4 linked regions of the Diceros bicornis minor genome follow. The protein of the gene in region 1 binds, or shares a complex with, the protein of each later gene. Links are inferred from orthologs where the notes say so. Each region holds a gene or a part of one and is shown in the gene's direction. Other genes may lie near its edges. The genes, in order: G3BP1, ELAVL4, IGF2BP1 and CAPRIN1.

Region 1 (7,682 bases):
TGCTACAAAGAGCCTTTTGCAAACATCTTTGGCTGCAGGTTACCAGGATTTCCCGTGGATTCCAAACCTCTCAAACCACCTGGAAAGCTGTCTATGCAGCATTACCTGGTGGCACGCCTGAAAGCAAGAAAGAAAATCCCAGCTTCTTAGGGGTTTCTGAGGAGCCATGCCCCTTTCCCCTACTTGGGACTATCTATCCTTCTTCCTTGGGTAAAAGAGTATGGACTTGAAGTCAGACAGTCTAGCTTCCAGCCCTAGCTGTGCAACTTTGGGCAAGCTGCTTAACATCTCTGAGCTTCTTTCTGAGAAATGGGAAATAGGGTGGTTGTGAACATAACAGGAGATCATCTTTGTAGAGAACACCAGCAAGGTGCCTGGCTCGTGGTCAGCAGTGCACAGAGTTTGAGGAGGTGATGTGTTTGCAGAGAGTTTGCAGCGAAAGGAGTGAGGAATCCAATAGGCATGCGTTTCTAAGCCAGTAAAGGGTCTCTTTGGATCTTTGTATGATTTTTGTATGATAAGGAGCAAAAGTAAAGAGGTTAGCAGTCTGGGAGGGAGGCAGATTAAAACTTTGATGCTTCATCTTGCAAACTCCTCACACACCTAAAGGGGTAATGTAGGACTTCATCTTGTTTGTTTTAAAGATCAAAATTTTCATATTTGTAGTTCCTCATATCACTATTAAAATCTATATTTAACATTGAATTTCTTTGGAAAAATAATACATGCACATGTTAGAAAAAAATTATACAGTACCAAAGGGTACTTGGAATGACTGGAAACTAAGCCTTTCTCCTACCCTGGCCCAAGTTCACCTCCCCGTTAGCAATCATTAACGCTTTCTTGTGACTCCTTCCAGATATAACCTGTGCATGTAGAGCAAAACCAAGCAGGAATGTGAAGAGATAACTATAGCAATACAGTATATCTTAATAGAAATAATTGCCTCATGGCGCCTCTCCCCCCTTTTTACTCTTCCCATTATTCTGCACTTTACTTTCTTCGTTTATTGATGTCTCTTGGAGATCCCTCTGTAACCATACACACAGATCTGCCTCATTTTCTCTGTGGTTGCATGACAGTAAGCGTGCACCGTATTGTATCTATCCAGTCTCACATAGCTTGACATTCGGGTTGTTTCCTGTCTCTTTCTACTTAGAAGTAGTGCCGCAATGAATATTATTATACGAGGTCTTTGTTCATAGATGGGAGTTTAACAGTTAAAGATACATACAGGCACATATTTTGAATCACTCTTCATGAAAGATTAGCTATGTTTGGGAAACACTGATCTAGATGATATTCTCAGGATCATCCCTTACCTAGTATTTTCCACCACCCTTTCACTCTCACTACAAAACTGTGTATTCTGGGGCCTTGCCCATGCTTCTTCCCACCTGCTTCTCAGAGCTTTGAGGAGAAGTGGCAGAAAGAGAAGGGTGAAGCAGTGTACGGGAGGGGTTTGCAGATTTTGCTTGGCATTGGAAAGACTAGTAGGAGGCCAGGGACTCTCCCTTAGATGACTAAGGTGACCAGACCAGCATGTCTCAGCCCCGGCACTATGGACTTTTTGGCCAGATAATCCTTTGTTGGGGGTGGTTCTCCTGTGCATCCCTGGCCTCCACCCACTAGATTCCAGTAGCCCCTCTACCTAATTGAGACAAGACCATATGTCTCCTGGGGGCAAAATCTCCCCCACCTCCCCCACCTTGAGAACCAGTGCTCCAGGCAATTCAATGGTGGTAAATTACCCACTGAAAATTTACTAAGTATCCAGCAGCTGGGGCCTGAGGGTTTGTCATCTGAGTTGGGGGGAAACTACCACAGGAGGATGCCAACTTGCTCTCTCCTGTGGAAAACAGCAGCTACCACATGAGGGGGCTTGTCCACATTCTCCCTCTAGTAATCTTTTCCCCTTTCCTTCCTTCCTTCCTTCTTACCTCCTATCATACAACACAGTACATGACCACAGTCTCATTGTAAAACTTGCAAATAATACTTGATCCTCATCGCTCCCAATTTAGAGGTTTCCCTAGGGGGAATGACTATCGTTTTAAATTTAGAACTCTTCCTATGCACTTACATACCTGCTTTAACATACAGAAACCAGTTGTTTTGTTTTTTGTTTTGTTTTTAACATAAATGGGAATTCACTGTATGTTTTGTTGAACTTGATTTTTTTTAAACAATTGGAGATGGGTGCATATCTGTATAGTTCTACCTCATTCTTCTTTTTTTTTTTTTTGTGAGGAAGATCAGCCCTGAGCTAACATCCATGCCAATCCTCCTCTTTTTGCTGAGGAAGTCCAACCCTGAGCTAACATCTATTGCCAATCCTCCTCTTTTTTTTCCCTTTTTTCTCCCAAAGCCCCAGTAGATAGTTGTATGTCATAGTTGTACATCCTTCTAGTTGCTGTATGTGGGACAAGGGGTGCGCCGGTGCACGCCCGGGATCCGAACCTGGGCCGCTAGTGGAGCATGCACACTTAAACACTAAGCCACAGGGCCGGCCCCTACCTCATTCCTTTTTAAACTGCTGCATAGTATTCTACATTATGTGCATATCGTCAGTTAATCAGTTTGCAAATTGGTAAGCAATTATGTTTTCAGTTTTTAAATATTCTAACACAGCTGACAATGCTGTAGTGAACACTTCATTACATGCCTTTAAAAAATGTAGCTATCAACCAAGAAGTGGGATATACACAATTTTAACAGAGACTGCCAAATAGCCTTACAAAAAGAGTTTAAAATGCCCTCCAAATGTGATTAAGAACAGCCTTGACCCCCATCACAGGCCACCTGCGTTAAATTACCAATCTGTGAATTTAAAGTTTCTGGATCTGCTCTCATTAGCATCAGTTCGGAAAGTCATTTTGTAAAACGCAAATTTCTTAGTCCACCCTTTAAGAAACCTTTTAGGGGCTCTCCACTGCCCTCAGAATAAAGTCCAAATTCCTTAGCAGGGCTAACACGATCCTGGAGGTTCCTTAGCCCAGAAAACCTTGAGCAGGTTCTCTGGGCTGAGTTCCCTTCCTGTGCTCTCATAGGCGCCTGTTCCCGGGTTTGGGAGCTCCTGGCCCAGAGCAGCGCCCCGTCTGTTGAATGGGTGACAGCAAGAAGGGACAGCGTCTCGATCATCTCTGACCTCAGCCCTTGGAGCTCAATAAATGCTGAACGAGTGCGGCCGATGCGGGAGTGGGGTCTGGGGGGCCGGAGGGGCGCTCTCACTTCGCTCCTGGGGCCGCCCGGAGTCTGCAGTCTGGGGCCAGGCCCCGCGCAGGGAGGCAAACCGGGACACCCCGGAGCCCCACCTGGCCGCTGCTGCGCCCCTCCTCCCCCCACGGAGACGATCCACGTGCTTCTTTTCCAAATTTCTCTGCCAAACTTAACGGGAGATCCTCCCACAGGGTCACATTCCTGGAATGAGAACGCACCGAGGCGTGTCGATGTATTTCCATGTAAAATGCTTATGGTGACCAACAGAGGGCCCGACAAAACACTCAGAGGAGCGCAGGAGACCAGGCTGGTGTGCCGCTTAGCCCCTGAACTGTTCCGGGCAATCTTCGGGGCGTCCATACAGGAGTTTAAAGACGGAACGACCTGAAAATAAGCCCGCACACTCACAGCATTAGAAAACTGAATGACAATGGTGGTGGGTGACGCACAGGATGTTGCATTAAGGCCCGAGCTGATCGGAGAAGCTACAAACCACCTTCCTCGGCAGCAACAAAAAGGGAAAACCTCAGCTGAACACCCGCCAGCCGACCACCGGGCCGACCTGCCGCTGCGCTTGCCAAGAACAGCAGGGTAAAAACGCGTGTTGTCAAACTCCCCAGCAGTTTTCACGTGCGACCTGTTTACAGGCCCTTAGGTCCACAACGGGAGCTCCTTTCTCCTTCGGCTCTCCCTTACAGTTGTCCAACAATAGTGCTGACTAATGGTGAGAGCCAGCAAGTGCCCTTAGGCGGCCGCATGGAAATAAAAAAGTTGTTATAAAAAGAAAAAAAAAAAAAAAACGGGAAACTTTACTACTTGGTTTCCCTGGTACCAAACTGTGCGGAAAAGGGGGGAGAGGGGGCTCAGAAGCCCGACCCAACAAGTGAGGGAAAGAAAGGAAAGCGGACGGAAGCCCGGGCCAGGAGAGGCTCAGAGCCGCCCCAGAGGGCACGGCGGCCCTGGGGCTTGGTCTCCTTGGTGCTGTCCAACCCCCGTGTCAATCAGCTCCTTCTTGCGTTGCGATTGGCTGGGGGCTTCCTGGGCCTCCCTGGAGCCCACCTCCTTGTTGCTTGGGGTTTACTTCCCCAAAGTACACGGGCCCCACCTTGTGGAGCAACCGCTCCTGCCTGGAAAACGGTTCTCCGCCCAGGGGAAGACGATTTAACGAATGGGAGCGGCTCCACGCATTTATTGGCTGCCTTGAGTATCGGTCAAAGAACTTCCCACCCTCCTTTCCACCATACGTTTAGGTAATTGGTCTCTCTCAGTGCCAATCCGTTACTAGGGAAACGAGATCCTCACAGTCTCATAGGCATGCGTCAAAGCCAATCAAGAGCCACGCCTTCATCCTGAGTCAATACCCAATTGCCGCTCGAAGAGCCCAGAGGACGCAGTCGGGATTGGTCACCAGCCTGGCCGACCTGGCCGCAACAAGTTAGGCTGAGTCGCGCTTATAATACACCGGCGACGGAGCACGCGTGTGTGCGGACGCAGTTGCTTGAGGGGTTTTTGCCTTCCGCTGTGCTGTGGAGCAAAGCTTGTTCCTCTCCCGCTCAGCCGCGCAGGTACGCCGGGGTGTGGGCGGGGCCGGGCGGCGGGGGGACGAGGACGAGGTCCGGCGGGGGTGAGAGGGAGGAGAAGTCCGAGCGACGCTCGCGGCGGCCGCGCGCCCCCGCCCCCACCCCTCAACGGCCGCAGGCGCGCGCGGCGGGCGCACGGGCGCGCGGAGGCTCCGGCTCCCCCGCCCCAGCCGGCCGGCGCGCGTGGCCGTGTCCACGTCCGCCGCGTGCGCGTGCCGCTCCCAACGGCCACGCGGGGCGAGAGCGAGCCGCGGCCGCCGCCCCGGCCGCAGGGCGATCTCGGGGGCCTGGGCCCCGCGTGGTCGGCTCGCCTGCTTTTCCCGCCCGGCCCCTACGCGCCTGCCGAGTCCTTCCTCCCCGGGCGAGGGGCTCCAGCTTGGCCTGGACCGGAGGAGGCCTTTATTGAGGATCAGGGGCGACGCGCGAGTGCGATAGGTTTTTTTGACCTGGGAAGCAGAAGTGGTGCTCCTGGGTTTTACAGGGAGTGAAGGGGGAGCAGCGCGTGCAGGGATCCTGTGTGATGGTAATATCTAGTATTCCCTCTCAGCCCTCGCTGCGTGCCCGGCGCTGGGCTCCGCAACTTGCGTGCCTCTCAGTCACTCCCACGACGACCCGATGAGGTAGGTGCGATGATTTTCCTCATTTTGCGGCGGAGCCCGAGGCCCCGAGGGGAGTGACACGGTCAGAGGCACACGGGCGGCAAGGGGCAGGTATTCGTTTGAACCCCGGCCATCCGACTCCTGGTCCCCGAGCCTGTTTTGTTCTTTGTTCCGGCGCCCTGTGCGGCTCCAGGGCACCTTTGCCCCCAGAGCGCCCTGGGGACAGCATCAGCCTCGACAGGCCGCCTGCTGCGAGCTCTGCAGCGGCGTTTGTGCTTGAGCCCGTCGTGGGCTTCCAGGGAGACGAGGGTGGGAAGTGGGATTCTGACAAAGGAAAAGAAAGGATGTGGGCTTCCTTCCTTCGTGGGCTCGTACAAAGAGCTGATGGATGTGCCGCCCTAAAAGCTTCTGGAAAAAGTATGGAATAAGATGAATCAGTGCAAATGAACATGGACAGTGTTTCTCGTCGGATTTGAAACTCATATTACCATGATGGGAAATTCCCGCCAGCAGGAAGTTAGGCTCTGATATTAACCTTGAATCTTTCTTCTTACATGTAGTCGGAGCAGAGTTTTGAGAAAGACCTTCGAGAAGATAGTTTAACTTCCTTGTTTTATAGTTGAAGAAAATGAGGTTTAGAACGATGAGTTGCAGATCTCGGCGGCATTTGTAGGTTTAATTTGAAATTGCGATGGAAAGGAAGGTGCCCAGTTACGGTATGAATTTGACCCCTGTGGAGCTTATGCTGGGTGACGGATGACTGAGATGTGTTGGAAATCTTACTCTTAACGGCGGTTGCGATCTTCGGTGGGTAAAGAAAGCCTGTCTACGTTCAGTTCTTTTATTTAGCGTTCACTGTAAGGCTCCTGTGTATATATGCAAACGTAGAAGACACTTTCAGAGACTAGAATTTATATTTTTCTAGTTGAGTTATATTTTCGATTTTTAAAAGCATGTATACTCCTTGGGTTAGTGAAATAATAAATGTTCCTGTGTGTTGCAGGTCCAAATCATTACATCACAAATGTCTCTACTTGAGATAAAACTGCAATAAAAGTTTGGGACTAGCCTTCTAAGTTAATTTTGATTGTGATGGCTTTCAACCTTTGTTTTTTTTAAGAAATTTATTTTGTTTGTACATACACTTTCTAGGATTGGTCTTCATGAGTAAGGAATTTTTTGCAGTCAGAGGGAACACATAATTTACATCCTTGTAGGAAAATTTAAAAACCATGAGGAAGCTTAATATTTGTAAGTGTTTCCATTTACCCAGTACTTTTCCATGTTTCTTAACAGAAAGTAGCAATAGATAAAGGATTGAAATATTGTATGGACAAGTGCTTACCTTTCTTGGTGTTGCCATAAATAACAGATTGCTTTAGAGTGTAACATTGTTGTACTTGGAACTTGCCTTCCTGTAACAATTCCAGCTACCTGCGTCTAGACACCTGTTAACTATTGAATTGGCATTTTAAGTTATCAAGTGTTGACACTATAGTGACCTACATTTAAAATGATAAGTTTGAGTCCAGCTAATTTTATTAACTCCTTGAGGTAAAATATATGAGAATGAAATTACCTTTTGCATTGAGGGATTGCATTGCATTTCTTAGTTTCCCCTTCAAATATTAAAAAAAACCACTGTCCTTGGCCTCAGGCAAATGGTTATCAGTTGAGTAGGAATATGAAAACTGTGATATTTCACAGATTGGTAGCCCAACTGATCTCTTATGCATTCATTTATCAAGAACAGATGAATTGGAGCAGATTGGGATAATACAAGACCTGTGTGCCTCCCTGCTTCCCAGCCAAGTCAGAGGTTACTTTTGTTGTTAAATGCTTTCAATCTAAGCTTTGATCCCTCTTCTAACTGGTGGAGAAGTAGGCAGTTCTTTGTTCTTTATTTAACTCACATTCAGTTGGCTGGTCTCAGCTGACAGTCTGCTAAGGGAACATCAGGAGATTTGGTAATGTTTTTGGTGACCTACTTTGCAGCAGTTTTTTGTAATTTACTTTTTTTTTTACTTGTTTTAGTACTTTGCATAGAAAGTGAAGGGCAGAGGTTGGTTTTAAATTTTTTTAGGTTTGTTAGGAGGATGGATGGGGCAGTGTTAAAAGACGAAATTTAATATAAAGCCTGAGTTTGTAACCTAAACCAATTTTTTCTTTTTGCCAGTTTAATAAAATTACTCACTTGATCTTCCAACATTTTGCAATTACGCTGGTTTTTTAACATAATATTTTGGAATTCAAATATGCACTGTATGTCCATTTAATTGTGCTT
Region 2 (7,322 bases), on another chromosome or scaffold:
AAAATCCCAGGTATCAGTGTGTGTTGGTTTCTCTTTTAGATACGAGGGAACGTAGAACGGTGCATGCACGCTCTGTAAGTAATAAAATCCTCCTTAAAATCAGGCCATAGCAGTATAAGTGATGAGATTTATTTGTCCAGGTGGGTTTTTATCCTTTTAACATCCCCCCTCCATCACTGGGGCTTTCAACTTGGGACATTCTATTTATTCCTGGCAGAGGAGCAGATTAATTGGAATAGAATTGTACAAAGGAGACACCAAGTTTTCTGTACATCCCAAATAGTATACGACAGAAATGTTCCACTTCAAGGCAGGTCTTGGCGAAAACGAACAGCACTGGGAGGGGAGAGCTGATTGGTTTGCTCTTGTGGTTGTTTATAACTGTTCGTGTAATTGTGTTTTTAAGAGATGTTTAAGATTTTTTTTCAGTGTCTTTACTTTTAAGCTTTTGCTTATTTCCTATCATGAAAGACCATATCAAATAAACCTAATGTTTTACTCAGAAGAAAAGTTGCATTCTTAAACTCTTGCCTCCATCTTGTATGTGCTTCGTCCATATGGATACTTTTGAATCGGGTTTTTATCACGTGAGTCAATATTTTTCTCTTTTTGCAGAAGGAAAATATTTCCATGGAGTTTTTTGTGTTCCCTCTTGCTCTGTGTTGATTGGATTTTCCTTGTTCATCCTTTGCTGAATGAAACAAAGCTTATTTGTGTTTCATTCTTCACAGTTCTTATTAGAATTGGTGATGGTGTTTTGTTTTGTTTCCTCTCTATAAGTCAAGAGAAGGAGTTTTATTTATTTATTTTCACAAGATACAGAGAGAGATACAAGACAAGATGCCTGTTAGGGTGCTGGCGTTTCTCATGTCACATCCTACACCCAAAAGCTATTCCAAGGGGGAAAAAACAGTCTTTTAAGATGGTTCATTTGAATCTGTGCTCTCTACCCACCTGGTGGTTATCTAGTGAACTGTTACTTTAAAGAGTAGTTTAAACACCAGCCATGTTTGGGGCAGGCTGCTCTTGCAAAGAGAGCAGTGCATATAACAGGAGTCTACTGTGTGTGAGATAAGGGGAAAATTCAGCTCACTGACTAGAGGTTTTAATGTGCGAACTCTAGGGAAATAATATATTGACTGTTGCGTGGCGCGCAAGAAAATTGAAGAACCCTTTGCAGACGGAGTGCTTTGCAAAGGATTCTATCTGTTTCTCTTAAAACAAAATCTGTGGCAAGATGTTTGAAATCAGCAAGACGCTTAATGCTGCTTTGTTAAATAATGAGGTAATATTTTGTCACTTTTTTCTGGGCAGCATCTGTTTCCCCCCCCCTTCATTTTTTTCCCTATGTTTATGAAGGATTCTTTTTTTTTTTTTCTTTCTTTCCTTTTTATTTTCCTCATGGAAGTCAAGGAAATACAATTCACGTTTCCATTTCTGTTCCTTCCTTTCAGTGCTTTTGGAGAATTTGGTTGTCTTTTTTATTTGCAGTTTCAGCTGGCTGCTGTTTCCTAGCCCATTGTGCCACGTAAGGCTTCTCCACTGCGCGGAGTAGGTAGTTATTAACGCTGAATTGGCTTCTGGTACAGTCCATCTGGACTCTGTGTGGGAAAGCTGGCTGCCGGCGACTGATGCTGAGATATCTGCAACCTTTGGGATGTGTGCATGGTGGCGAGGGGCTGACTGATATGAGATTACTTCTTTTAAGGGAAATTGTTATTAATGAGTCAAGAAACTGCTCATTTATGGTAAGAGGGATACAGCCGCTCTGGCAGCCCCACAGCTCTGGGATATCATTTTTAGGTTGCCTTAGCTGCTTGAGTGAGACAAGTTTCTTTCTGTGGTGGTGGAGGATTGTGCCGGAAAAAAAAAAATCATGCATGACTGGGAGACTCGCCTGCCTGATTCTTGAGATAATATGTTGAGAATCTGTTGCTTTACAAATGTCACACCACTGATATAGTGGTCAGCCCCTCACTCTGAAAGATGAATGGTACTATTGGAAATGCAATAATAAGGTTGACTTTTCCCAACAATAGGATTCTGCCTTTGTCTTTAGAGAAAAAGCCTCTGAGGATATTTGTGCATTTGTTTGAGGATTCTGTTGAAAGACTTTAGAGTGGAGGTTTTTGGAGAAGTGATCAATACACAAAGTGTATGGATTTTTTTAGCCTAGCAAAACCAGCTAATCATTCATACTGTGATATACAGTTACTATTTTGGAAAAGTGATGAGAATATCTTTTGATATACCTAATGTTAATTTGTGGCTCACTAAGTGTGCTGAGATTAATATGGGTGGGAGAAAGGGGTTTTAAGCCGGCTGTTTTTATTTGTGTGTTTGTCAGCACTGTGTTTATGTTTACTTTTCACAATATTTTGATATTGGTGAGATCGCACTCAGTTTCTCTTGTCTATTTGGGGCACCTGTACCTGCCCTGTGTATATCTGTTGAGCTCTTTACAACACTTAACCTGTGAATTCATCCTTAGTACACAGTTCAACAGATCCTATAGCACTATTGTGACTCGTAGGACTCTTTATACATTTTGCTAAAGAAATTATTTTAAAGTTTTCTTAATTTAGTATTGTTCCTCTTGAAGGGATTATAGTTTTAACATTTCTACTTTCCTATTTTATGTATTTTCATTTCCAATAGCTCAATTTATTTAAATTCCAGTTTAATAGTTTAGATAGTGTACCCAACACACATTGATTTGTGGTGTATCTGTATTTTTTAAAGTGTGTATATATGTATGTATTTGTATGTGTGTTCATGAACTAGTAGTTTAGAAAAAATAGTTTTATTTTTTAAAAATGTAAAGGTTATTTTCTTTTCTAATAATTTTTCACAGACCCATTTATTCTTGGACTTTGAAGCCCAGAGTGTAGCATGATTTCTGGCCTATATTTCTACTCTGCTCGGTCCCATCTTGCTGTCAACTTCAGCCAAAGATTAAAAATTATGTTGAATTACGTCTTCAGTAATATTTGTTAACCTCTGTATATTTATTGAGGAACAAATTGACTAAATTATGAATTAAATAGTGATAAGTTAACTTTTTGGGTAGAAGTAAAGCATAAACTCCTGAGGTAAACCACTTTAAAACTCAAACCAGAACAAAAAAAGTATCTTAACTGAAGGCTTGGTATCAGAGGTTATGAAATGTATCACATAGGCAGACAAACTGTATACATCACCACACACTTGCTAAATGTCTCCTTGCAAGTCTTTTAAGAGGCCAAAGGAAGAAAACATCCTTTGAAGGAGAGATGCAAAATCACGTGTTCAGTAAAACAAGATGGGCACTCTGCACCGGTTATGAAATGAGTCTGTTGTCAAAAGCATATTTTTACCTTTCTCTATAGCAATAGGGAAAGCAAAGAAAGAATGTGTTTTAGTGGATTTTTAAAAATTCAGATCATGCACCTATCCAAGTTGAGAAATAAATTCATTTAAATAAATCATTCATCATTCTCTGTTTTGAAAAGCTCAGACAGAAGGCAGAAAGGTAGAGGCTGACAGCTGCCCCCTCCTCCCCCAGCTTTTTTTCTTTTTTGTTTATTAGGAAATAGTTTTCTGAAGCAAACTTGTATGAACCTAGTTCAGGGAGCAAGCACAATCTCAAACTTGCTTTCGTTTGAAACCTGGTCATGTGAGCTGCAGAAGGAGCATTACTTGCTAAAAATCAGCAATATTGGGAAATAATAAAGTTAAAATGTAGATGTATTAGCACATTGAAGTGCTTTTGTTGTTATATCTTTAAGCCTAGAGGCAGATCAGTAAATATGCATTTCGCTAGAAAGCAACTGTCAAGAAAGATAAGATGATTGAAAATATTTTAGATGGGAAAAGCCCTCTGTCAGAGGGGTAGGGTGGTGCAGCCCTCAGGACAGGGGAAAGAGAGGACACTCCCACTGTTAAGGTTTGCAAGCCACCAGTGACTTGCAGTTGTTACAGTACTTTTGAGCTGGGAGGAGGGAAAAGGTAAAAATACAAGTATGGCTGTTGTTGCTTCAGCCTGGCCTTAATTACCAGACACAAGAAGCAGTTCAGAAATCTGGTCTCTGTTGTTGTAGAGGTCACCAAATCATTAACATCGTCAATCTGGCAGTAGCTAATTTAAATAGCACCTGATGTTGCAACGCCTCCCTTCTTTTCCCCAGCCAATCAGATCCTGGCTTCAGCTGACAGATGGTCCCATAAATGGATGTAAAAAGGGGAAGCTTCGAGCCAATTTCAGCAAGGCTCTGTTCAGTTGTTCTTATCTACATCCTAGAATCGGGAGTTTCGGCTCACTGCTCCTTTTCTTTTTTTTTTTTCTTTCTCTCCCCCTCATCTCCCCCCCACCCCCAAATAATTGATTTAATTTACAATCATCCACACTGTGTGTTGTGGATCTTTAAAAATATACAACAATAGTAGTCATTTAAAAAAATATATTCTGAAACCTTTGCAAATTTTAAGAGAAGAGTCGAAGCTCTGCGAGACCCAATATTTGCCAATAAGAATGGTTATGGTAGGTATGACTAGATTTATAATCTGTTGTTTGTGTTGCTGGAGGGAAGAAAAGCATCTACACTTTGACCAGTCTTATGCTTGCACAAGAGTTTAGTTCTCTGCTGCTGTTTGGTTCCTACCTTTACTATCTCTTTTGTGTAGAGAGTGCGGGTAGGTCCTTGTATTGAAAAGCAGTGGGGAAATAGATTGTCATTTTTAAGAGGTCATTGTCAATTTTCCCTTCAACGTAAAGGCAGTGGGGGGAGGTGGGTTAGGGGGAGTTGGGCTGAAATAATTGCTGGTTTGTTGAAAGAGGTTATATTACATGAGACCATAATGCCAAAAGAAGGGTTTTATTTTTGCAAGGGAGTGGGGGTTTGTCTACGTGCCTGGGTTTTGTGGGGCTCGAGGTGGATGCAGCAGGGTTAGGAATCTCTCCATTCCCGTGCTGGAAATTTAAACCTCGAGAAGCAGCTCCTGGATACTGAACGTTGAGATGGGCAGTTGTGTTTCGGGGGTGCGCAGTCAAAACGGCAAAGAGAGTGATTTATTTGGGCTTCAGTAAATGCTGCATCTTGTATTTCAAAGAGTTTCCTGTCATGACCTCATAAAAAAGAGGAGGCGGCTTGTATGTGTAGCGGTGCCTGGCGTGTTGAGTTGTTGCTTCCTTCTCTGGGCAGCAGCTCTGTAAGGAGGAATGTCAGCTTTTACATAACGTTCCTTTCCGCTTTTGACACACTGTGTGAGGGTCCATCTTCTGCTGATCACAGATGGAGTGGAATGGCTTGAAGATGGTAAGTGAAAAGAGGAAGGCAGCTTGGAGATTCCAGCTGAGTGTGTGTGTATGTGTGTGTGTAAGGATGGTGGACTGTGCATCATAAATCACTGTGCAGATCGTTTGTGTGTGTGTTTATTAGTATTTCTCTTTTCTGAAAACCAGAATCCACCTCCAAGTGTAATGGCACTGCATGCACACTAGGCACACACACTGCCTCTTCCATAGACACACATTTTAGCCAAGCAAGGTTGGTGTCTTTTTGACAATCACAATGTCACCGTCGCTGTCAGCTGGCGTGTCCACCGCCTCTGTGAGCCTTCAACAGAATTACACGACTGTTAAAGTTAAAGGCACATTTCATTTTCCGTCTCCTGCTAAGAGTGATGGGGAAGGCTGGGAATGAGGGGTGGAGGAGGTGAGGTTCAGTACCAGCAGATGTAATTGTGAAACAGGACTTTTGGATGTGGAAGGGGAAAACCTTTCTGCCAAAGTAGTAAATCTATTTTTAGCATCATCTCTTTCTGAAAAAAAAGAAGCAGGGAAACTCCTTGAGTGCCGCTCCTGTCGCCTGATGTTGACCCTGAAGATATGGCACAAAATGGCATGATCAGATGCCGCGAGTGCCCACTTTGACTTTGAATTTCACCAGCAATAGCTTTCATGGGGTTTCAAAGCTGGGTATGGGGGGAGGCTGGAATTTCATATCCATCTCACTTATTTTTCACTAGAAAAGCCCGGGGAGGACTTTTCGCTCCGCATAGATGTTATAACAAAGCTGTGGTCTTTTTCCCATTCTTAGAGGATTGCCTTTGTCTGGCTGCTTGTTTTGATGGGTGTAAAACAAATAAGATTAGACCGAGCAGCCCAACTGAAAGCGATAGCTGGGAGGAAAACCCAATGAAAGGTTGCCGGGGAAACGAACAGAGGAAAAGCCGAATAGGGAGCAGGTGGCTATCATGAGAACACACTGCAAACAGTGTAAAAAAAGCGGGGGGGGGGGGGGTACAGGACCTCGATTATCTTTGCTGTTCTTTGTGGCCGGCCCAACTTTAATTATTCTTTATAAATAGGTGTTAATTACATTTCTAACTCTGGTTTACAGTGATTTTTAGAAATCTATTTTTAAGCATCTGTTCTGTCTCCCCTGTTTTTTTTTTTTTTTTTTTTTTGGTTTTAAAAAACAGAGAGAGAGAAGGAGGGGGGAAGGGAGGGTAGGGAATCTTGCTTTTTTTTTTCCTTTCTCTCTCTCTCTTTCTCCCTTTTCCCTGCTGTGAAATTGTACGTGCGAAAAATCGCAAGGAATCCTGAGAGGCCATTTGAAAAAAATGTAAATTGTATTGAATGAAGTTGATGGAAGCATAATAGTGAACTCTCACAGCTGATAGGTTCTGCAAATGACTTCTTAGAAATTTCCAGCAAATATCCATAGGAGAAATATAGGTAGAATAGATTTACCCTAAGCAATGACTTTGTGCTAGGTAATATTGGTATTTTTACTAAATCAGATGTTGATACTACAGTTCCAGGGAGTTCATTGTAGCTCTCATTTTATATCTTGAGTAGAAATTACTTTTAAAAATAATCAATAAAAAGCTGTATTCTAGCCTTTTTCTTCGCTTCCCTCTCCATGCCTTCAGCCACAGGATCTATCAGGCTGCACCCTTGCGACCACCGCCTTCCATTTAGCATTTGGTGCTGGTTCTGGTCTTGGCATAAACTGAGTGAAAAGCTGAATTCTTTTTTTCGGTATCTCTGAACGTCTGGGACCCATGTGTGCGCTGGGTGACAGGCATCTCTCGCTTTTTCTCTAAGAGTGCTTTACTAGTCTCTTTTTCTCATGATGGTGGGTACCAGGAGGACTGAAAGGTGTAGTACTTAGGTGAATAGGAGGTAGCGTAAAAACCACTGAAACGATGATGTGTTACGATTTCTTCCTGAGAGACAAATTAGATACATGATCAAGTAGCTAATTTTAAGCCCCAAAATGAGAGAATAAAAAATACTGAAATATATTAAAAGGTTATAAAATATAATTGGCTTTATT
Region 3 (7,844 bases), on another chromosome or scaffold:
ACACACACACTGTTTGACCCCTAGAAAAACAAATGATTGTTCTTAAAGTTGCTTTTTTCTCCTTGAGTCTCTTCTATCTCTGAAATAAACACATTTCTTTTTAATGTTTTAAACACTGAAGACTTTTAAAGAAGAATCTGGAGGAGGAAAATTTTTCTTTTCTGCTTACCATTCTTTTACATTTTATGAGTTATCTCAAACACATAATTAATTATCCTTATTTATTTGACAGGAGAAAATGCTGCATGTGCTTTTAAATTGGGACTCATTTACACTTTTTCAAAGTTTATGGGCATTTAGAAGAACCACACTAAGACTTCAAGTTGCAGGAAGAAACAAAATATCCCCAGGCAATAACAATGAAATAACAAGCAAACAACAGCAACAAAACAAATCAAAACAAAGCAAACAAAAAACAAATTCCTCCAAAAACTTTGAAATCAAAGCAGCCATTTGTCATGAAATGTGAATTTTTCTTCTTCTCTATTTTATAGAAACCATAATTTTATTTCAAAATTGATTATGGGTCATTAGAAAATAAAAAAAGGGACAAATTCTATTTTAATGCCTTTCTCTCCTGCTTTCCATTTTTTTGTGACTTCTCTTTTGTAAAACATGCTAAACTTTTAAAATAGAAAGTCATTGATAAATGTTAAATTTAAAATGCAATATATATTCTGGGGATATATTCAAATGAGCTAATCTAAAAGAGGAAAAAGTTACATGCCCCAGAAACATCTATTCAGCACCACTTACAAAAGTAAAAGAATTTGATGTAACTTACATATCTAAAAATAATGATTAATGATTAAGATTAACTTACATCTACTGGACTAAATGGTACGTGTTGACTAAAAATGATAATTATGAAAACTTTGAGGCAGCATGGGAAAATGCTTATGGTACAACACAAGTGAAAAATTAAGATATAAAAATAAGGTGACAAAATATAAAACTATTCCAAATGAACAAATACTGGAAGAAATATTTAAAAATAAAATTAATTTTATATGACAATGGTGGAATTGTTGATTTTTTCACTTTATATCTCCAACTTTTTAAAGTGTTGTTTTATTCTCTTAATTTTTTTTTCCTCTCTGCATGTATTTGCAGGTTCACATTGAAGGAAAATGGATCTGAATCCCATCTTTAAAATGGAGTCAAGTTTCAGTGTTTCTGAATTCAGAGAACTGAATTCTAGAACTAGACCAAATACTTCTTCAGGAAAAATGAAGAAGGAGGAAGAGAAGACCAAGAAGTATAACAACATCAACAATAATAAAATTATTATTATTAAATAAATTATTAAAGAAAATAATTTATCCTGCAGCTATATTTTTAACTCTCACAACTAAATATAATTCTGCATTGAAGATTAATCTTTCCCCGAAAAGCTGTGTGGAAAAAAACCTGAAAACAAATACCATGTTTATTAGTAGTCTTTAATATAAAAAAAAAAAAGAAAAGAATGATGATAAATTATGGCATCCCAACTTGGCCCATGCTTGTCCCTCACCTAGGAATGTGAGTCTTGACAAGAAAGAACCCTTCTCTCAGGTTAATTTTAGTGCTGAGCTCACTCAGAGGGGAGAGATGAAGCACCAGTCAACAGGATTCAGTCCCCCCAACCCCAGCCTAAAATAGCCAGGTCACTGAGGCAAAACTGATTTGGGGGCTAAAAGAGTCTGCATCTCACCCCAGCTGTCTCCAAGCTCTTGTGTTCTTGCAGCCTCTGACTACACACAGAAGCCCTTGGTGGGGTGTGTGTGTGTGTGTGTGTGGGGATTAGAATTCAGTGAAACAGCTGATTTTTAAAAAGAACAAATCAGTTACGATTTAGCAATAGTTGGTAAATTTTTAATTTAATACATTTATATTTTCTCCTCTACTGTCATTTAAAAACATTTAAACTGACTCATTTCAGCTAATATCTAGACTTCTATTATATTTTTTAAGTGGAAAAAAATCAACCTAAAAGTGAACTGAATTCAATTATTATTTTTAAATTTTTTGTTTCCCTTTGAATCTAGGATAAGAAAAGGTGGGCTGCACTTTACAGGCATTTAGAGGTCTGTGTTGAGGTTTTTGTGGGGTGTAACTTGCTTTTGTTTTAGGAATAAAGAGATAGAGTAGTGGATATGTTCCCCAGGCAGAAAAGCTGAGAGGTGCTTCTATTAATTCCTAAAGATTTAAACTAAATAAGGAAACAGCTCTTAAAGTTTCTGGGAACTGAAAAGTCCTGCCTAGTACCCACTTCTTTGTCCCCCAATCGAACAGACGAGATTTAAGGAGATTGGGGCTCCTCTTTACGAAAAGGCCAAAGAACACAACAGCCTTTCTGAGACCATCTTTTAGCCCTTTCAAAAGTCCACACACATCACCAAGAAAAGTCCCCGGGAAACAGACCTACACATTCTGGCCAAGATAATTTTTTTTTCTTCTGAACTCTTAATTTTCCTGTGCATTTTCTTTGCTCTGCAGTTTGTATTAGCTTGTTTTTCATTTAAAAAAATGTTTATTGAATGCCTACTATGTGGTGGGCACCGTTTCCAGCTCGTTGGTTTGTTTTAAAATTGTTTATGGTCAAGAGTTGACTAAATATTAACAGTCAGAAACAGTGGGAGGGTGGGAGGAGGTGTGGGGGCTGGGGTACAGATGTCGCCCACCCCAACATTCTTTTTCTACTCAGCAACTAATAGCTTATAGTATTTTAATTTCTGTCGCCCTATGGAAAGAAAAAAATCACAAAAACAAAAATCCGACAAACACGTGGCTGGCTAGAACAAAACGCGGATTTGGAGGGTGGGTTTTGAAGGTGGTGGAGATGGAGAAACCGAGTTGGAAGCCTTCCCCCGCCCCCACGCTCAAGCCCCGTTTCTTTTCAGCGCGCGGGGACAACCGGGAGGGGGACAAAGGTGCGGCGTGCTGTCTTTTAACTCCCGACTTTTTGAACGGAATGAAATCGTCTGGCAGAAGAGTGGTGCGCCCAAGTCGGAGTCAGCTCACTGACTCTGCACACAAAATAATAACAAGAAAAAAACCCAAGGCATTCATATCGGTGCAGCCAACACGTGTTGCGGAGTCGGCCCGGGCCGCAGGCGACTGAGACAATGGGGTCGGGGACCGGGAAAGGGAGAGTGACCCCCTTCCTCACCTGCCCTCGCAGCACGCGTGTCCCCGAACGAATGATTTCTCCCTCCTGCAGAACCCGGAGCAAACCCCGAGCTTCCGCCCAGTTCAGGGAGACTCTGGCATTACTGGAGGTCCACCTCCCTCTTTCCCCGGTTCCCTGGCCAAGGGGGCTCCAGGGGCCCCGGGCCGCGCTCTCTGCCACCCCTTGGTGCCGTCCCAGCCCCCGCCGCTAGAAACTCGTTGGCCTCGCTCGCCACTCGGGCCGGGGTCCCGGTTGCGCGTGGACCGCGCGTCCCGCTCTCCGCCGTGTATCCGGGACTCCGAAACGCGCCGCCAACTGCCCCCTCCCCCACCGCAGAGACGGGGGTGCGACCGCCCACGTGTCGCCCCTTGCCCAGTCGGGTCCGTCCCTCGGGCTCCGGGGGCCGGAGGATCCGGAACGAGTTGGTCAAAGGCGAGGGAAGGGACCAGGGCGGATCCGCTTCCCCCTCCCCAGCAACGGGGAGGGGGGAGGGGCCGCCGCCCCCTCCTCCAAGCTCCCGCCCCTCGCTTCCCCGAGCGCCGAGCGGAAATTACCCCCTCCCTCCGCGGGTCTGACCTGGGGACGTGGGCGGGGCCTCGCGCTCAGCCCCCTGCCCGCTGCCCCTCTCCCGCCTTCCCGCCGGGATCCAAATCCTGCACCCCAAACAAAGTTCCCGGACCCGAACCCAGTGCTGGGAAAGCGGCTGTCGCTGTCCGGATTGGAGCGGGCGGAGGGGACTCCACCTGTCTGCCCCCGCGTCCGGGAGGGAGAAGGGACCGTGCGGATCTCCACCCGGTCACTCCCTCCCCGAGACCTCCCCCTTCGGTTCGCCCGGGTCTGCTCGCGCTACCCCTCCTCTCCTTCTCTCCACCCCGCCCTCTCTCCCGGGGTCATCTTGGGCCGGAGCCGTGCGTTCCCCCAGGACCCCGAGACGTTGTCGTTCAACAGCCGAACCCCGGCTGTGAGCCACCCTTTCTCCGGTGGGAATCCCGAAACATGATTTCCTGTGGATTCCTCGTTCCCAATCGCGACCCCCCGTGTCCCCAGCTTCCCGGTCCCGCGCTCGCAGGGCCCCTCGGTCCTGGATTCCCGGAGGCGAGGGAGTCTCCTAGGGCTGGGGCCGGGCAGGCCCAGAGCCCCCACTTAAAAATCTAGGGAAAAACCGCCTTTCTTTTTAAATCACCGGCTCGCGGGACCCCCTCCTGAAGACCCCAGAGTCCTCGGCTTCTCTTTGTCTCTCTCGGCCGTCCCCCGCCTGTCAGTCGCTAGCACTTAATCGGGGTAGGGTGGGCAAACTCCCCCACCCCCGGAGCACACGAATAAAAAAATCACCGTACATTTTACCCATAAAGAGGTGGGAGATTCTGGGCCCGACAACCCTCCCCCAGCTAGGGCCGGGGTAGGGGGATGGGTGGGGGGGGTGGGGCGCCTCCCTAGGGACCATATTCTTGCAAAAGGGGAGGGGACAAGTAAAGCTTCGGGAACGCAGCCCCCCCTCCCCACCCCGCCCAGTTTATCCGGGGGCGAGTGTCCCCCCTAGGCGGGAGATTGGTGGGCTGGGCCTGGCTGGAGGGTCGATGGGCCCTGAGGCGTCGGGGGTCTTCCCCTGCAGGGTGGGTGGGGGCTTTCACCACGTGGCTTCGCCTTTTTTTTTTTTTTCCGCTCCATTTTTTTTCAAGTCGATTTTATTTAGAGGCGGCGCCAGGGCGGCCACGGAGAAACGTGACACACCAGCCCGCTCGGAGGAGTTTCGGACAGAAGAGAAGGAGCAGCGCCGCGTCGTCCGCCTCCCAGCGCGCCGCGGGCACTTCTCCCGGGCCTCGCCGAACTCTCCCGCGACCTCTGCGCGCCCTCGGGCCGCCCTCCCCGCCGGGCTCCGGACAACTTCAGGGGTGGGGTGCAAAGAAAGTTTGCGGCTGCTGCCGCCGGCCTCCCGCCTCTCGGCCTAGGAGGCTCGCCGCCCGCACCCGCTCGCTCGGCCTTGCCAGGGACCGCGTCCTGCCCAGAGCCCGCCACCATGAACAAGCTTTACATCGGCAACCTCAACGAGAGCGTGACCCCCGCGGACTTGGAGAAAGTGTTTGCGGAGCATAAGATCTCCTACAGCGGCCAGTTCTTGGTCAAATCCGGCTATGCCTTCGTGGACTGCCCCGACGAGCACTGGGCGATGAAGGCCATCGAAACTTTCTCGGGTAAGGGCACACCCACCTCCCGGAGAAAACCACAACGAAATCCCTGAACAACGGAGACCTGCGCCGCCTCTTTCCGTGCCCGCCACCTCCTCTCTCCCCGCGGCCTGCGGGGCTCGGCCTCGGTACCCACCCTCCACCCAGCTCCTTCGACGCCCCCTCCACCCCCCACTCCCCTCTCGCGCGGAAATATTCGAGATTTCCTCACCCCTTCCTCCCAACCCGAGACGAGCAGCTGGAGCCTTTAGTAAGGTGGCCCCCTTACCCCCCACCGACGGGGCGGGAGCCCCCACTGGCAGTGGGGGGTCGCCAGCAAGGCGACCCCGTCAGGGCGTTATTTCCACGTCAGCCCCTCCCTATCCGCGGCTGGAGGCCCCTCCCGCCCCCAGCGTGAACACCCCCAGCTCCCCTTCCTCCGCCTTAGGCCTTTCCAGGCGGGGCAGGGGTCCCCGCTCAGTTTCCGATCTCCCGGCTTTGCGTGGGGACTGCAGCCTTCAAGCAGGACCCGCGGGGAAAGGGGTCCCGCCTCCCGCCCAGGGCCTGGGGCTTGAGCCATTTTGATTTGAAAGTGGGGCGTGAGCGGGGTGGCGCGGCCGCGGCGGCGCCGGGTCGCCATGCTGCTTCCCGAGACGCCGAGGCTGGGCCGAGAGGCGCGCGCCGCCGCCACCGCCGGGGACCCTCCCTGCGGGGCCCCGCTTCGCTCCCCCAGGGCCTCTGCTCCCGACCAGTCCCGACAGGTGACCGTCCCGCCGCCCAAAGCCCTTCTCCCTGGCTGGACCGAAAAATAAAGTTTCATTCTGCACCCCCCTCCCCCCTGCAACACACTTTGGGAGAAACGAGAGCCCTTTCTCTCTCGGCCCCGTCTTCCCACATCTGGGAGCCGGATAGGCAGCCCGCGCACACAGACGCCCGCGCACCTCTCCCAGATCGGGCTCCCAGAACGACCTACTACTCAGCCAGCCTCGATGAGATAATAGAACAAAACAAAAATTAAGAAAACACAATGAATTTATAGATTCCACCATTACCAGAGCGACCTTTTCCCACCCGGCTGCGAAACTCACTGCCTGATTCCTACAAATCCAAGTAACTCCTGAATTACCCTAATGCCTTTCTCTTTCCTTTTTCCGCCCCCCAGCCCTGTTCAAGCTCTCATATTGTCTCTCCTTTTTTTAATCCTTAGGCAAAGTGGAACTCCAAGGAAAACGCCTAGAGATTGAACACTCGGTCCCCAAAAAACAAAGGTAGGAAAGAGCTCTTTTCTGGGGAGGGGGGCAGCCTGGGGGAGCCGAGAAGCTGTGTTCAGGGGTCCATAGTGTCTCCAGTGGAAGAAACCCATTACTGGCCTTCCCACCCCCAACTCCGGATGTTGGGGGCAGGGAGGGAAGATTGGCTAAGATCTTGTAATGAGTGGTTTACAGCTTGTAAAAAACGTAAGCTGGGGCTAGGGTGGGCTAAGAGATGTTATTTGGAGAAATAAAAGGGAAAAAATAGGGGAGAAACCTTGAGGAGTTTGGTCAAGGGGTGTGGGGCCATTTTTGTGGGGAAGCTAAAAAGATTTGAAGAGCTCAGACTCATGGACATTTCTGCAACTTCCTAGCAGGCCTCATTTTCTCTATTTTTTCCCACCCTTCACTCACCATAATTCTTAAGTGGATTGGTGGGGGTCTCCTTTCACTCCCCAGGGGAAGTGGAATGAGTTCTGCCCCTAAAAGAATTTTCTTAGACTTGTGCTTTATTTATATTTCTGCAACAGGCATGGACATTACTTTTTTACAGACCCCTACCCCTAGTCCCTCACATGCACATCCTCCCCTCCCAACTGGATTTTGCAAATATGCTTTGGCTGTACTATCCTTTCCGAGGCCCCCCCCCCCCCACTCCTTCAGTCCATTGTTACAGGGGGACCATCTGGGGTGAGAGCTTTGTGTTCAGGCTGTGAGCTGGGGCTCTTTGGAGGGTCTAGAACTCCCTGCATGAATGGGTGTGTGTGTGAGAGAGACAGACAGAGACAGAGACAGAGAAAGAGTGTGTTCCAATACCTTTCTATCCTCACTTCAGCAAACTGGGGTACCTCTATCATGTTATCCCCAAATCCAATTCATGGTGGATTTCAAATCTTTCATTGAACTCTGGCTGGGAAGTATAAGGGCCGAGTCTTTCTGCTTTCTCAAATCTGACTTTAAACATGTTGACAGTGCAGAGTTTTCTCTCATGTTGCAAACCCCAGTAAATCTTTGATCCTTTCACTCCCCCCTCCTCTCATTTCAACTGGAAACTTGCTGAATTTCAGAATAGGACCTGGCCTTTTCAGGGTGGGAAGGTGGAGGTGGGTGGCTATGCATTTTTGGAGGTGGCTAAGGGTCTAGAAAGTTTACTGTGAGGTAAAAATCTGTTCAGTGGTTTAGCTTGAGATATTGAAGTAACTTGGAACTATTGTATCTATAGATGATCAATATGGCTTGTAACTATGTTTATAGAGCTTGTGATTTAACCTCAAG
Region 4 (7,053 bases), on another chromosome or scaffold:
ATTCAGATGCAAGGTCCCCTCTTTAGCTACAAATATACTCAATGTTAGCTTATTGGGTGATTCAAGTTGAAGCAGCTGAACTCTTTTGCCAACATGATCAGGATAAGAAGTTCAATTACTCACTCACTTGACTGTGGAGACTTAGAGTGCTGTGGTCTAATGAGTTAAACAAGCAAACGTCAGCTTGGGAGATCTGTGTTATTAAAACACGTTAAGGGGCCAGACCCCTGGCTTAGCGGTTAAGCGCTTGCGCTCCACTACTGGCGGCCCGGGTTCGGATACAGACGCGCACCGACGCACCGCTTCTCCGGCCATGCTGAGGCCACGTCCCATGTACAGCAACTAGAAGGATGTGCGACTATGACATACAACTATCTACTGGGGCTTTGGGGGAAAAAAAAAAGGAGGAGGATTGGCAATAGATGTTAGCTCAGAGCCAGTCCTCCTCAGCAAAAAGAGGAGGATTAGCACGGATGTTAGCTCAGGGCTGATCTTCCTCTCCTCCCCCCCCCCAAAAAAAAACAACACGTTAACATTGGGGATAACTTTAAAACCAAGGTTTTTGGAGAAAGTGTTTTTCATTTATAGATGTACTCTGCTCTCCTATTGGTTTTGTAGGAAAACCCTTTAATTTTCCTATTTCTTCAGTGATACAATGACCTGAAGCTACTGCATGGGTTTGGATTATGAAAAAAGGTAAAAAAAAAAATGATTACAGTAAAGTATTAAAAAATTCACATAAACATAGCTTCAGTCCCCTTTTTGTCAGACAGGAAATAGACAAATTTGGTTTGCTGGGACCATGGCATTGGGCTGGGCAGAAAGTCAGACTAAAGACACTACTTTGCCTTAAACTGATTAGTCTTCCTGGTCTTGCTGACCTGATCACACAACTGCAAGAACGTCAGAACACCAAGGAAACCAGATGGGATGACATATTGTAGGAAGTGAGAGCCCAACAGCTATGTATGTTCACCAAATGTTTCCGGTTCACCTAGCTTCCTACTAGGCATCTGATAGGACAGCATCTCTTGGTTGGCTGGGATCATGTGACTCTTTCCGGCCAATGAGGTGTGAGTGCACATGATGCAATTCTACCTGTTTGAAGTATTTAATCGACTACTTGAGATACTCCCCAGTTCTCTTTCCTTATGGTAATCATCAACACTTGAGATATGGTTTCTCCATCAGCCTGAATCTACTTAGTGACTACTCTGAGCAGAGCCCTCAGATGGATGGATGTGTATCATTTGTTGTTTTAAGCCAGGGATTGGCAAACCTCTTCTGTAAAGTGTGTAATAGTATTTTAGGTTTTTCACACTATACCATCTCTGTCACAACTACTCAACTCTGCTCTGCTGTGGCACGAAAGCGGCCATGGAAAATACGTACATTAATGGATACGGCTGTGTCCCCAAAACTTGATTTACAAAAACAGATGGAGGGCTACTCAGCCCCGAGACTCTGGTCTGCAGATCCCTGTTTGAAGTCACAGCGCTCTCAGGACTGTTACTGCAACATAACCTAGCGTGTCTTGACACACTGTGGGCTGTGAGACGGACTTCCGACTGAGGATCTTTGTCATCCGTGTTGTCAGCTACCACGTTCCCTCAATAATCTTTCTTTTTTCCTTGAAGAAAAGCCTAACTTAGCTTTATGCTTTGGTAACTGCTACTGTGTAACGAGTCAAGGAAAGGCAGAAGAGGCCTCTCCTTCTCACACCTTATCACAAGCCCTCTTCAGCTCAAACTTTAATTATAAGAGGTCTCCAAGTCATTGGTTCTCATACTTCAGCGTGCATCAGAATCACCTGGAGGACGTGTTAAAACACAGATTGCTGGGCCCCACCCCCGGAGTTTCTGATTCTGCAGGTCTGGGGAAAATTTGCTTAGTAGAGTATTTCATGTCTGGTCTTAAGCACATTGGTCAAGTTCTAAGGAATAAAGCAGAGATTGTTGTTCAAACTTCAACGTGCATACAAATCAGCTGAGGCTCTTGTTAAAATGCAGTAGGTCTGGGGTGGGGCCTGAGATTCTGAAAGTGACAGTAGTCAGGCTGAGTACACTAAGACCTGCAAGGAATTAAAGGATTCTAATCCTCCTTTCTAGCCTCTAGGCTTAGCAGAGTGTCTAGCGCAGCACTAAACACAGTTCAGGTGCTTCCATCTTGAATAATCTTAGGTCAGCTTTGACTTCTCACTCACCTAACACACAACTGCTAAGCAAATCCTGTTGGTTCTACTACCATAATGTGTAAAGCAACCAACCACCTGTCCCCACCTTTGCTGTGAACACCCTGACCTTGGCCACCACCATCTCTGGGCTGCATTATTTCAACAGCCTCCTAACTGGGCCCCAGCTCCTGCTCTTCTCCACCCTTCCTCTCATCTCTAACACACACTACAGTAAATTCTCTACATTGCAGCAAGAGGCTTTCTTTAACACAGGTTGATCATGTGACTCCTCTGCTAAAGCTATGCACGCTGTGACTGCCCATTTCACTCAGCAGAAGCCCAAGGCCCTACAGCCACCTACCAGGCCTTACAAGGCCAGCCCCCTTTCACGTCTCTGACCTCAGCTCCTATTCTTTGCTCTAGCCTCTGCGGCCTCCTCGATGTTCCTTAAACCCACCAAGCGCACTCCCATCTCAGTTCCTCGCACCTGGTGTTCCTTCCACCTGGAAAATTCTCCCTCCAAGATACCTGCTTGGTCTTCTCACTTCCGTCAGTCTCGGCTTACATGTCCTCAGTAAGCCTTTTCCTGACCACCCCGTCTGTTCTCTCTACCACTTGACTATCTGACACGTACCTACTTATCTTCTCCCCACTTAGAATGTGAGCTTTATGAAGACAGAGGTGTTTGTTTTGTTCACAGTCCCTGGCACTAAAGAGCTCCTAAGACATAGTAAGGGGCTCAAGGAATCTTCGAATGAATCGATAACCGACTTTGCAGCTAACCGGACTGTCCTGAGGCCGGAGACCGCTGCTGTTTCTCCAGGCTCCCTCAGGGTACACTGCTGCCAACCAGTATTACTCATTTTCTTCCCCAAGGAACAGCGGGTTTAGTATCATCCTTTTCGAAATCCCCTTTTCACGGAGTTTCAATTGTAAATCCCTCATTTACTGTTGTCATACAACATTATGCCGCTGAGTTTTCCGCTAACGACTCCCTTTAATACATTTCCTTCCAGCACTTGGTTCATTTTCTGTCCACACCCACCCCGCCCCTAGGTTAATTATAAGGCTCGAATAATTCTCTTGGAGCAAAAGAAATTTTCTTTTGTATTTTATTCAACATTCTCTTAAAAGTTTTAGGAAAATCTAAAACAAAAGGAAAGAAAACCCTAATCCGTAATCCTCAGGCCTCTTGGATAAATGTCATCTTACGGTAGCTGAAGATTACTTTTAACACGAGTCGGGAGGTTTAAGACTTTCAAAATGCCACCTATCTTGCTCCTTCCAAGGCGTTCGACAGGGAGCTCCCAGGTGAGTGTCCGCGGGGAAGCGGCGAGCGGGCGCTCTGCACCGGCCCCTGTGCAGGGCGGGAGGCCACCTGACCGCAGCCAGAAGGCATTCTAGAAGCGGGGTTCGCACCAGCGCCTCGCGCACCACTCACCGGCGGGGACCTTTGCCCCCACCCCCGCCCCCACCACGTAAGGACCCTTCTCGGGGCAGCCGCCAGCTCCACAGCCAGCCGCTTGACACCTATTGTCCCCGTTTGGACGTCAAGCGACTTCGCCTGAAGGACCCTCACTTCGATTCCGCTCACAGCTCCAGACCCCACTCCTGCAGCCTCCCCGGGGCCCCCCGCGGCAGGGCCCGGGCCGGGGCGGCGGCCGGGCAGGGGCAGCCGGGCCGGGCCGGGCCGGGCCGCGCCGCGCCTCCCCGCAGGCGTTCGCGCCGGGCAGCCCGCGCCCGCGAGGGCCCCTGCGCTCCCCGCCCTCCGCGCCGAGGCTGGCGGCGAGCTCCCTCCCGCTCGACTCTGCGCCTCACTGGCAGGGGCTCTCGGTGCAGCGGGCACAGCGCGACGCGGCCTGCGCCCACGGAGCGCGCGACACTGCCCGGAACGCAGCGCCACGCCCGCCCCCTCGGGACCGCCAGCGGCCTCCGCGCGCGCACGGTGAGCGCCGGCCGGCCGAGGCGCCCGCGGGGCGGGGGCCGCCGCCGGGTCCCTTCCCGGCGGGGGCTCGCCCCTCACGTCTCCCTGCCCCCGTCAGCCCAGTGCCCCTCCCCCGCCGCGCCCCTCCCCCGCCGCCCCTGCGTCCCTCCCCGGACGGCGGCGAGCGTCGGCCCCGCCGGGGGACCGTTGCGCTGGCCGTTGGCGGCCGGCGGCGAGGCCCCGCCCCGCGCGGGTCCCGGTGCCGGGGGGTGGCCGGGCGGGGGCGCGCGGCCGCGTCCCTTCCTGCCCCCGCGGCGCCGTCCCCGCCCCCAGCGCGCAGCCGCCCTCCGCCGCGCGTTTTGTCCCGCGTCTCGCCCCGTCCGCCGCCTGACCGGCCTCTCGTCCTTCCTCCCGCTCTTTCTCGTCTCCCTCGCCGTCTGAAGATGCCCTCGGCCACCAGCCACAGCGGCAGCGGCAGCAGGTCGTCCGGGCCGCCCCCGGCGGGCTCCTCCGGCAGCGAGGCGGCGGCGGGGGCCGGGGCCACGGCGCCGGCCGCCCAGCACCCCGCGAGCGGCACGGGCGCCGTGCAGACGGAGGCCATGAAGCAGATCCTCGGCGTGATCGACAAGAAGCTGCGGAACCTGGAGAAGAAGAAGGTGCGGGAGGGGTGGGCCGGGCGGCTCTCCCGTCCCCGGAAAGCGGGCCCCGGGGCGGCGCTGTCAGCTGCCCGGCCGCGGCGCTGCCCGGGCCTCCGTTCCTCCTCCTGCCGGGGCGGCCTTCGGGTCGGGGAGTGGGCTGTGCGGGGCCGGGGCGGCAGGGGGCCGCGGGCTCGGGCTCGGCGCTGCCTCGTGGAGCCGGGCTGACCGCGCCGCTCCCGTGCGCTCGAGGCCTGCCCGCTCCTCTCTCTTGGGAGACGGGCGGACGTGTTCAGGGTCCCAAACCAGAGCCGCTTCCCCCATCGGGCCCTTTTGGGGCGTCTTCGATCTGCTCCCCGCCCCCATCCGAGGGGCGCCCCTGCGTGTTCCTCTTTGTTCCAATTGTCTAGGTGCCCCCGAGCCGCGCGCTCGGCCCGGCCCCGAGAAGCGTGTCTGCAGCGGCCTTTTGTCCCCGGGACTCTGGAGAGGGCCGGGGGGCGACGGGGACGACTGGGGAGGTGCGGCGGTGCGGGGACGGAGGGGCGCCGGCCCGGGCACATGGAGCGCGGCTAACATGGCGGCGGCGGGGAGAGGGAAGCTCGCGGAGCCGCATTGTGAGCACAAAGCGAAAGCGGGGGAGGGCAGGCCGGGCAGCGCCCCTCCGAAGCCGACCACGCCCGCAATCTTGCCGTTCAGTATCTGGCCCTTCCAGGTCGCACCGGGGGGTCTGTCTGCAAGTCGGCCTTTTGTTGTGTGCTCTCCGCGCAGCACAGGGTACCGACTCTGTGTAGGGGGACACGTGTGTGCGTGTGCGCGTGTGTGCACGTATGGGGAAAGGGTCTCGGCAGAGGGAATAATTCAGCCTTCAGTAAGATTGGGGTGGAAAGGAAAAAACAAATCACCAGCATAGCATCTTTAATTTTGAGGAAATCATTTAAAAATGTTTACAGTGTTTAGCCAGCCACCTAATAGTGGTACTTAAAACGTTGAGATAGTAACTGTTAGGCTGAAATTTCGACTGTGGGAAATAACTTGACGAAAACTGATGACATTTAGGCCTTAATTATCTTAATTGTTTGTTTAATGATTTATTTTACATTTTGGGGGAGTTTAAAATCATAAACATTTTTAGATTTGTTACTTCTCTGTCTCCTTCTGTATTGGGAATTTTATTTGAATTTCTTGGACTTTTTGAAATTGAGAGATGCACTAATCGTGGGTTTCTACTTTTTGCTTATCTTTTATTTTGAAGAACAAGTGTGGTTTATTATAAATGATTGAAGTTATAGATTTATCAACATCGACCAAGCAACAAAAGTATTTTAATTATAAAGTAGCTATATTCAAGTATGTAACAGAATAAACATGCCCCAAGGCTAGTATCTTCTGGTTCTGTGTCTGCCATCTGTTTTAGTTTTTGCCACTCTATTTGAAATTGAGGCTTAGGTATCTTTAAAACCTCTTAATGCAGTAAACAATCCTGTCAATCTGGCTGATGCCTGAATGGTTTAATTTTCAGAATTCCTAGGAATCTGTTTTCTTCGAGGATGGGAATCAGAAGATGTAATTAATTAATTAATGATATATTTTACACAGAGTCATTTTAGTATACATATTTATATTTTAATCACTGAAAAGTATTTCTTTCAAAGGCATTAATATAAAGTCAGGCACTGAGTAGCAGCCAGCTTAGTTGTGAGGTGATTATTAGATTCTAGTGTTCAAGTGTATTTGAAAAGAATAGAAATCTAGTTTATAAGTCCCTTGAGGGCCTGAACCATGATGGGTCTCTCCTGTCTATAGGTTTGTACTGCTGTACGTTGCCTAGTTGTGTCCATCCCCCGCCCCCCCATCATTATAAAGGAGAAAGTAATGTAATTATTATTACAGAGATTATAGACTAGGCTAGTAAGTACTGAAAAATTCCCTTGTAATGATGGACATTTTACAAAATAACAAATGTATTTCATATCATCTTTTCTGTCGGTGTTTTGGGTGCTAGATAGTAAAGTGGAAAGGTCAAATTACAGTTACTTGAGGCTTTTTGATAACTCACAGACTGAGCTACATACTCGTTAAATAGTTATGTTGCCAGTACTGATGTTGTGACTTAATTACTATTAAAACAAACTATGTTTTGAGAAACTCAAGGGCGTTTGAATTTTTCTCTAAGCACATCTGGCTTCTAGTTTAAATTGAAATTTTCTTTATAGCTGGATAATTTACTGTATGAAAAGATTTAACTGATTCATTTTTCAGTAGTGAATGAGCATTTCTAATACATCTAAAATAGGATTTACTTACAAGTCAGTTTTGAACCT

Evidence for each region.
Region 2: G3BP1 (region 1) and ELAVL4 share a complex: the UniProt entries of both Homo sapiens proteins name them as parts of the TAU mRNP complex. The link is inferred for Diceros bicornis minor from reciprocal best matches to the Homo sapiens genes G3BP1 and ELAVL4.
Region 3: G3BP1 (region 1) and IGF2BP1 share a complex: the UniProt entries of both Homo sapiens proteins name them as parts of the TAU mRNP complex. The link is inferred for Diceros bicornis minor from reciprocal best matches to the Homo sapiens genes G3BP1 and IGF2BP1.
Region 4: the proteins of G3BP1 (region 1) and CAPRIN1 are in contact, whole or in part, in a crystal structure (PDB 8TH7), measured with the Homo sapiens proteins. The link is inferred for Diceros bicornis minor from reciprocal best matches to the Homo sapiens genes G3BP1 and CAPRIN1. Residues at the interface, in NP_005745.1 of Homo sapiens: Glu4, Lys5, Pro6, Ser7, Leu10, Val11, Glu14, Phe15, Arg17, Gln18, Thr21, Leu22, Met29, His31, Arg32, Phe33, Tyr34, Gly35, Lys36, Gln58, Lys59, His62, Leu114, Glu117, Asn122, Lys123, Phe124, Tyr125; in NP_005889.3 of Homo sapiens: Met363, Gln365, Met366, Gln367, Gly368, Pro369, Tyr370, Asn371, Phe372, Ile373, Gln374, Asp375, Ser376, Met377, Leu378.

The regions. Positions count from the first base shown.
Region 1 is NC_080740.1:68,626,779-68,634,460, forward strand, and holds the start of G3BP1 (ras GTPase-activating protein-binding protein 1), read left to right. Parts: upstream 1-4,678; 5' UTR 4,679-4,784; intron 4,785-5,128; exon of another isoform or gene 5,129-5,419; intron 5,420-7,682. UniProt on the Homo sapiens protein: Protein involved in various processes, such as stress granule formation and innate immunity. Plays an essential role in stress granule formation.
Region 2 is NC_080752.1:12,622,370-12,629,691, forward strand, and holds the start of ELAVL4 (ELAV-like protein 4), read left to right. Parts: upstream 1-4,314; 5' UTR 4,315-4,510; coding exon 4,511-4,519; intron 4,520-7,322. UniProt on the Homo sapiens protein: RNA-binding protein that is involved in the post-transcriptional regulation of mRNAs. Plays a role in the regulation of mRNA stability, alternative splicing and translation.
Region 3 is NC_080757.1:37,072,046-37,079,889, reverse strand, and holds the start of IGF2BP1 (insulin-like growth factor 2 mRNA-binding protein 1), read left to right. Parts: upstream 1-4,831; 5' UTR 4,832-5,171; coding exon 5,172-5,346; intron 5,347-6,526; coding exon 6,527-6,587; intron 6,588-7,844. UniProt on the Homo sapiens protein: RNA-binding factor that recruits target transcripts to cytoplasmic protein-RNA complexes (mRNPs). This transcript 'caging' into mRNPs allows mRNA transport and transient storage.
Region 4 is NC_080770.1:34,299,829-34,306,881, reverse strand, and holds the start of CAPRIN1 (caprin-1), read left to right. Parts: upstream 1-4,046; 5' UTR 4,047-4,118; intron 4,119-4,540; coding exon 4,541-4,753; intron 4,754-7,053. UniProt on the Homo sapiens protein: mRNA-binding protein that acts as a regulator of mRNAs transport, translation and/or stability, and which is involved in neurogenesis, synaptic plasticity in neurons and cell proliferation and migration in multiple cell types.